Diceros bicornis minor: one gene and its partner. The protein of the gene in region 1 interacts with the protein of each later gene in a biochemical or structural test. Links are inferred from orthologs where the notes say so. Each region holds a gene or a part of one and is shown in the gene's direction. Other genes may lie near its edges.

What was found.
Region 2: the proteins of FLNC (region 1) and XIRP1 form a complex in vitro, tested with the Homo sapiens proteins (2 studies listed by BioGRID and IntAct, with this or other methods). The link is inferred for Diceros bicornis minor from reciprocal best matches to the Homo sapiens genes FLNC and XIRP1.

Annotation. Positions count from the first base shown.
Region 1 is NC_080742.1:77,584,882-77,588,783, forward strand, and holds the start of FLNC (filamin-C), read left to right. Parts: upstream 1-995; 5' UTR 996-1,231; coding exon 1,232-1,586; intron 1,587-3,902.
Region 2 is NC_080741.1:41,944,548-41,948,449, reverse strand, and holds the start of XIRP1 (xin actin-binding repeat-containing protein 1), read left to right. Parts: upstream 1-970; coding exon 971-3,902. UniProt on the Homo sapiens protein: Protects actin filaments from depolymerization. Required for correct cardiac intercalated disk ultrastructure via maintenance of cell-cell adhesion stability, and as a result maintains cardiac organ morphology, conductance and heart beat rhythm.

The DNA of each region.
Region 1 (3,902 bases):
CTTGGGCTCTCCCTGCCCACCGGCCCCCCGGCACGTTTCCCCCTGGCTGCTCTGGGCAGGGCTCTCCCTGTTTGTGTCTGGCTAACCCGTTCTTTTTCTGGAAGGATCTACCCTGTGGCCCAAATGGGCACATTGCCCAGGGGGCTCCCTAGTACTACCGGACAGAGTCTCTCTCTCCTCTCACATCACCTTGGTTGAGTCAGACTTGATGGGGGGGGGCCCACAGTGTGACTCACTGGGTACTCTTTTACTGAGCTCAGCTTCATTCTGAAGGGATGAGGCCAAACCGGCTGGTGACAGGCACACTGAGTCAGGGGCAGCCTAGTCTTTCTCCTGGAACCCTGGGTTTGGGCCTCAAATGAGACTTTGCTACCTGTAAAGCAGAGCAGCCCCCCAAGCCTTCTCCCTAATTGACCTGGGCAGTGTCCCTACTTCCTCTCAGTCTGTCTCTACACAAGCACACACACTTCCCTTCCCTGTCCGCAGGTGGACAATACCCCGGGGCTAGGAGCCCGGACTCCTAGACCCTGTCAATGGCCCTGCCACCAACTCAGACAGAAAATTTTGTCAACACCAGATCAATGTATTTTGCCCTAACCACTGGCCTCAGTTTCCTTATTTATCTCTTTAGCCCCGCGGGGTGTGGAGAGGGCATATTTCATCTGCGACTGGCAATGCTTAGTTTTGGGGTGTTGGGTGCCCTCACCCCCCACCTTCCAGCTCCACTATTGACCTCTCCAGCGGGGCGGCCTTGGGGACCAGGACCGGGGACCGAGCTCCCCTGGGCCGCAGACCCGGGCCGGGGTGGGACCCCCTGTCCCGCCGCTCGGCCGCGTGGGGGAGGGGCGGAGGAGGCGGGGCGGCCGGCGCGGCGCGGCCCCCACCCGCGGGCCGGGCGGCATTCCTGGGAGGCCGGCGCTCTGACGTGGACCCGGGGGCCGCGGGCACAGCGGGGGGAGCGCGGCTCGGGGGCTTCTTAAACCCCCCGCCCCGGCCCGGCCCGCACTTCCCGAGCACCGCTCCGCCCCCGGAGGGAGAGAGAGAGAGAGGCGGCCGAGAAGCCGAGGAGGCCCGCCGTGACCCGCCAGCCAGGGCGCGAGAGAAGTGAGAGCAGCGCAGCGCGGAGCTGCGAGTCCCGCCGTCGCGCCCCGACAGCGCCCCCTGACAGCGCCCCAACCCGAGCCCAGCCCAGCCGAGCCGGCCCGCAGCCCTCGCCCCAGCCCGCGCCAGCATGATGAACAACAGCGGCTACTCGGAGCCCGCCGGCCTCGGCCTGGGCGACGAGGCGGACGACATGCCGTCCACGGAGAAGGACCTGGCGGAGGACGCGCCGTGGAAGAAGATCCAGCAGAACACGTTCACGCGCTGGTGCAACGAGCACCTCAAGTGCGTGGGCAAGCGCCTGACCGACCTGCAGCGCGACCTCAGCGACGGGCTGCGCCTCATCGCGCTGCTCGAGGTGCTCAGCCAGAAGCGCATGTACCGCAAGTTCCACCCGCGCCCCAACTTCCGCCAGATGAAGCTGGAGAACGTGTCCGTGGCCCTCGAGTTCCTCGAGCGCGAGCACATCAAGCTCGTGTCCATCGGTCAGTGTGGGCGGGGAGGGCGAGAGTGCACCGAGGATGGGTTGGCCCGTGGGGGCAGGGGACACGGTGCTGGGTGCGCGCGGGGAGCTGAGAGAGAGGGCAGAGAGCGGCCCCCGGCGCAGGGAGAGGACCCCGGCCCCGGCTCTCCCGCCCTCCGACGCAGGCCACGCGGGCAGTGCCTTCACAGCCCGCGCAGGACAGCCGGCATCCCGGAGGGGGCCCGAGGACCAGACCTTACTCTTCCCGAGTCCTCCAGCTTCAAGCTCCCTCCACCCACTCCCACCAACCCGCTTCTACTCATTGTCCCCTTTCCTGCCATCGGGCAACCCCAGCCCATGCTTGAGAGGACAGGGCCAGTGCCCATTACTGATTCCTGGGGGCGTCTCCCCCCAAACAAAGCAAATGGCTTCCCAGCCTCCCAGCACCTCCACAGGGGAGGAGCGGGCTGAAGGCAGGTCCCAACCACGGCCTGATCCAAGGGCTCTGAGGCAGAGGGAGAGCTGGTGGCGGGGCAGGCATGTGCTCAGCAGCTGGGTTCAGGCGCGGGGGCCGGGGCAGGCAGGGCCCAGCCTCAGAAACCTAAAAAGGCACTGAGCGAGCGCAGGGAGCCTTAACCCCTGCCTAGCCTTCGCGCGGTTCGGCCTGTCCGGGAGGGGGCTCCTGGACGTCGGTGTCTAGCCCCAGCCCACCCCCTAAGCCGGGATTGGCTGCAGCTAACGGTCTGGGCTGAGGGGAGGGAGGGGAAGCCTGTAGAAGGGAGGAAGTCATTGAGTGTAACCAGATTTGGAAGGTGTGTCAGTGTTGGGTGGGGGTGGGGGAGGTACTCTAGGCTAGGGAGCTGAGGAGCAAATGAGCTCTGAGTGGCGAGAGGCTGCCCCTCTCCCCACTGTCCTGTGGTCGTCCCTGCAGGCTGGGGGCGAGGGGAAGACCCCCTACCCCTGTGCTGAGCTCTTAAGAGTCCTGCTGTGATTTACAGGAAAGGCCCTTGGGCGCTGCACCCTAGGGCCACAGGAGGGAAGTTTCACCTGGGGTCAGGTGCCTCCTCCACCAGGCTGCCCCAGAAACTTCCCCAGATAATTGAATGTCCACCCCCACTCTCCCTCAGGGCATCGCTAGGCCTCCTGAATTAGCAGCTGAAGTCAGGCCGGGGCCCTTTGCCCTGTCCAGTCCCCTCTCTAGGCTTTACCCCCTCCTGCCCCAATACTGCCCCCCCACCCCACCCGCTCGCTGGGGCCTGGAAATAGCCCTGCCTCCGTGACACAGCAGATGTCTCTGAGCTTTCCAGAAGGACAAGCCTGAGGACAGGGGGTGGGGGAGGGGGCCCTGGTGTGTGTGCTGGGGCTGAGGGCTCCCAGAGTGTGTGTGTGCGCGTGCGTTGGGGGGGCGGGTGGTCAGACACAGTCTGCCCTGGGGCGGTCATTCCCCTGCACATTGGGATTTGACAGACAGGACTGACTGTCCCAGGTGGGGTCACCGAGGGGAGAGCTGGGGCCTCACCAAGAGTTTATAGGAAACTACTCAGGCTTCCCCTCCCCTCCCCGCTGTGGGGGCGCTGGGCCGCTCTCCAGGCCTCATCCTTCCTGAGCGCACCTCTCCCCTCCCCCATGGTGGTGCCTGGCTCCGGCCCCTTGGCTCAACTGTGGAGGGGCCGGCTCAGAGTAGAGGGGAAAGAAGCAAAAGCTGGTTTGGGGGTGGGAGGGAAGCTCCTCGGTTCCTGCTGAGAGGAAGGGGAGCCATTCCCCATTTGGGCCAAGTGGCTCACTCGCACTGATGAGATAAGCTGTCAGCAATTCAGCTGCTAGGCCTGAGGCTGAGGCTGGAGGGGAGGGGACACAGGCGGCAGGGGCTGCCCAATGCTGAGGAGACGGAAAGGGGTTCCCCGCCAGGAGCAGCATCCTGCTTACTCTATTCCCTCTGTCCCACTTAGAGGTGGGAAGGGGCTGCCCAGGAAGGGGCTGCCCAATACCCTCTCTGGGTGTTGTCTCTGGACTGAAATTGAGCGTCTGGGCACTTGGGAGTGGGGGGTCAAAAAGACTCCCCACTTCCATTTCTAGGAGTGGAGTGGAAGCTGGGGGCTGAGACATCCACCTGAAGGAGGGGGTACTCAGTCTGGGCTGAGGAGCTGCGTGCCCTTCTTACCCTGTTACCCCTGTCTCGGCCCCCACCACCCCCTCAGCCCCTCGGAACAAAGAGGCCTGTGAGGCAGCTCTGTCCCGCAGCTGTTCCCCAGTTGCTATTCCTTCTCCTTGAGCCAACAGCCAAAGGAGGGGCGGGAGGGGGCAGCAGCTGTCCCGGCACCTCCCTCTCCTGGCCCTC
Region 2 (3,902 bases), on another chromosome or scaffold:
CTGTCAGTGTCGCCCTCACACTCTCCTGAGGTGCCTGCTGGGGAACAGAGGGGCACGTAGCCAGTAGTAGAGCTTCATACCCCCACCCTCTCATTTCTTGGGAGCCAGGCCCCACATAGGGTGTAGTAACCCCGAGCCAGCATTGCCTGCCATTCATTCACCAAGATCTGACTCTTTCTGGTCTTCAGTTTTCTCATCTGTAACTAGGAGTGGTTGGGCTCGAAGACCTTTGAAATCCCCCAGCTCAGACCTTCTGAGTCTTGCCTTATGGCACAGAAAACCCCTAACCTGGGATTCAGAATCTGGCTCTGCCTAACCATGAGATATCTGGGAACAACTGCCCCTCGCAGAGCTGTGACCACCTCTGCTACCGCATGGGCTGCTGGCTCCTGCTTGCCTGCCTGGGCCTGGGAAAGGTTGGAGAGTGAGTTGAGAGCCAAGAGGTGAAGGTTGGGCAGGACTTCCCGTGAAAGTGGCAAGTGCGCCCTCTGGTGCTATGAAAGGGTATTTCTTCTCCATGGGAAGGGGTCACCAATTTAGGGACCCCAGGCCACTCACTTGGGAGTTCACCAGGGAAAACTGATTTTGGCAAAGGAAGGTGAGGATGGAGCATGTCCACTTTGCCAGCCAGAGGTTTGGGCATCCCTGTGGGGCTGAAGGACAGAGCTTCAAGGGCAACAGCAGTGCCCTGCTTACTCCCTAGCAACACAGGTGACTCTGGGGAAGCCGGGACCCACCTTGATGGACGGCTCCCTATGCCCTAAGTTCAAGACTTGTCATACACCAACCATGCAGGTGGCAGAAGGAGACCGTGGTGAGGTCTGGAGAGGGAGGGGGTCTCTAAGTACATGTCACCACAGGGCTACTCTGGCCCTGGGCCCTGCTCCCTGCTATTTCTCCCAGCAACTAGCCCCCATCCCACCTAAGGCTCCCAGCCCCATCCTAATCTCTGCCCCTTCTCCTCAGGAGGATGGCCAAAGCCCAGACACAGGCAGCCCCCACATCAGCCGTCCCCATGGCAACTGCAGAGGACCTCCCTCTCCCCCAACCCCCAGCCCTGGAGGATCTGCCACCACCACCACCCAAGGAGTCCTTCTCCAAGTTCCACCAGCAGCGGCAAGCTAATGAGCTCCGCCGCCTTTACAAGCACATCCATCCTGAGCTCCGCAAGAACCTGGCCGAGGCCGTGGCTGAAGACCTGGCTGAGGTCCTGAGTTCTGAGGAGCCCACCGAGGGTGACGTCCAGTGCATGCGCTGGATCTTTGAGAACTGGCGGCTGGACGCCATTGGGGACCGTGAGAAGCCACCTGCCAAGGAGCCCGTGCCTGGCGGCGACGTCCAGGCCACCTCTCGAAAGTTTGAGGAAGGCTCCTTTGCCAACGGCATAGACCAGGAGCCAGCTGGACCTCAGCCATCCAGAGGGGATGTTCGTGCCGCCCGCTGGCTATTTGAGACGAAGCCGCTGGATGAGCTGACGGGCCAGGCTGAGGCACCTGAGGCTACAGTGAAGGAGCCTGCAGCCAGCGGAGATGTCCAGGGTACCAGGATGCTCTTTGAAACACGGCCGCTGGACCGCCTGGGCTCCCGCCCCTCCATCCAGGAGCAGAGCCCCTTGGAGCTGCGCTCAGAGATCCAGGAGCTGAAAGGTGATGTGAAGAAGACAGTGAAGCTGTTCCAAACGGAGCCGCTGTGTGCTATCCAGGACGCAGAGGGAGCCATCCATGAGGTCAAGGCTGCCTGCCGGGAGGAGATCCAAAGCAATGCAGTGAGGACCGCTCGCTGGCTCTTTGAGACCCAACCTCTGGATGCCATCAACCGGGACCCCAGCCAAGTGCGGGTGATCCGGGGGATCTCCCTGGAGGAAGGGGCCCGGCCTGATGTCAGTGCAACTCGCTGGATCTTTGAGACACAGCCCCTGGATGCCATCCGGGAGATCTTGGTGGATGAGAAGGACTTCCAGCCGTCCCCAGACCTTATCCCTCCTGGTCCAGATGTTCAGCATCAGCGGCATCTATTTGAGACCCAAGCACTAGACACTCTAAAGGGAGAAGAGGAGGCTGTAACAGAGGTCCCACCCAAAGAGGAAGTGGTCCCTGGTGATGTCCGCTCCACCCTGTGGCTATTTGAGACAAAGCCCCTGGACACTCTCAGAGACAACGTCCAAGTGGGTCACCTGCAGCGGGTGGGTCCCCGGGAGGGTGAGGGGCTCGTGTATGAGCGTCCATCCAGTGATGGCTCCTCCCCACAGTCCCTTTCTCAGAGTGCCCCCCAGAGGGATGGGGTGAAGGGGGATGTGAAGACCTTCAAGAACCTTTTTGAGACCCTTCCCCTGGACAGCATCGGGCAGGGTGAGCCTTTGGCCCACAGGAGTGTGAATGGAGCAGAAGGAACTGATTCTGCTGGGCAGTCTCAGGACATAGGGTCCCCAGTGTACGCCATGCAGGATGGTAAAGGCCTCCTCCATGCCCTGACCTCTGTCAGCAGAGAACAGGTAGTCGGAGGTGACGTGCAGGGCTACAGGTGGATGTTTGAGACACAGCCCTTAGACCAACTGGGCCGAAACCCCAGTACTGTCGATGTGGTTCGGGGCATCACCCGGCAGGAGGTAGTGGCTGGAGACGTGCGCACTGCTCGGTGGCTCTTTGAGACCCAGCCCCTAGAGGTGATCCACCAACGGGAGCAGCAGGAACGACAGGTAGAAGAAGGAAAGAGTCAGACAGGTCCCCAGCCTGAGGCACCCCTAAAGGGTGACGTGCAGACCATCCGGTGGTTGTTTGAGACATGCCCAATGAGTGAGCTGGCGGAGAAGCAAGGGTCAGAGGTCACACATCCCACAACTAAGGCCAAGGAAAGGTCCTGCACCTGGATGTTTGTGCCCCAACCCCTGGACAGGCCAGAAGGTTCCTGGGAGCAGCACCTGCAGGTTAGCCAGGTCCAGGCTGGGGAAAGACAGACAGACAGACATGTCTTTGAGACTGAGCCTCTGCAGGCCTCAGGCCGTCCTTGCGGAAGAGGGCCTGTACGATACTGCAGCCGAGTGGAGATCCCTTCAGGGCAGGTGTCTCGTCAGAAGGAGGTTTTCCAGGCCCTGGAGGCAGGCAAGAGGGAAGATGAGGGATCCAGAGTAATCCCTGAGCCCATCCCTGCTGGCTCTGTGCACAAGTTCACCTGGCTCTTTGAGAATTGCCCCATGGGCTCCCTGGCAGCTGAGAGCATCCGAGGGGACAACCTCCAAGAAGAGCAGCCTGCAGGCCCCTCAGCCAACAGGGTGCTGGAGAGGCAGAAGACTGCAGCTGAGGGGACCCTGCGGACTCTGCATGCCACGCCTGGCATTCTGCACCACGGAGGAATCCTCATGGAGGCCCGAGGGCAGGGGGAGCTCTGCCTTGCCAAGTATGTGCTCCCAGGCCCAGGGCAGGGAGGCCCCCATATACAGAAGGAGGAGCTGGTGTCTGGCGAGCTTCCCAGGATTGTCCGCCAAGTGCTGCGCCGGCCGGACGTGGACCAGCAGGGGCTGTTGGTGCAGGAGGACCCAGCGGGCCAGCTCCGGCTCAAGCTGCTGAGGCTGCCAGCTCCAGGCAGCAGCGGGACCGTCGAAGACATGGACCCTGAGTTCCAGCAGTTGCTGGCTTGTGGCCTGGGGACCTCGGTGGCGAGGACAGGGCTGGTGATGCAGGAGACAGAGCAGGGCCTGGTCTCACTGACCGCCTACTCCCTGCAGCCCAGGCTAACCAGCAGGGCCCCTGAGAGGAGCAGTGTGCAGCTGCTGGCCAGCTGCATAGACAAAGGAGACCTGAGTGGCCTGCACAGTCTGCGGTGGGAGCCACCAGCTGACCCAAGTCCAGTGCCAGCCAGCGAGGGGGCCCAGAAGCTGCCCCTGACTGAGAGCATCATTCATGTTC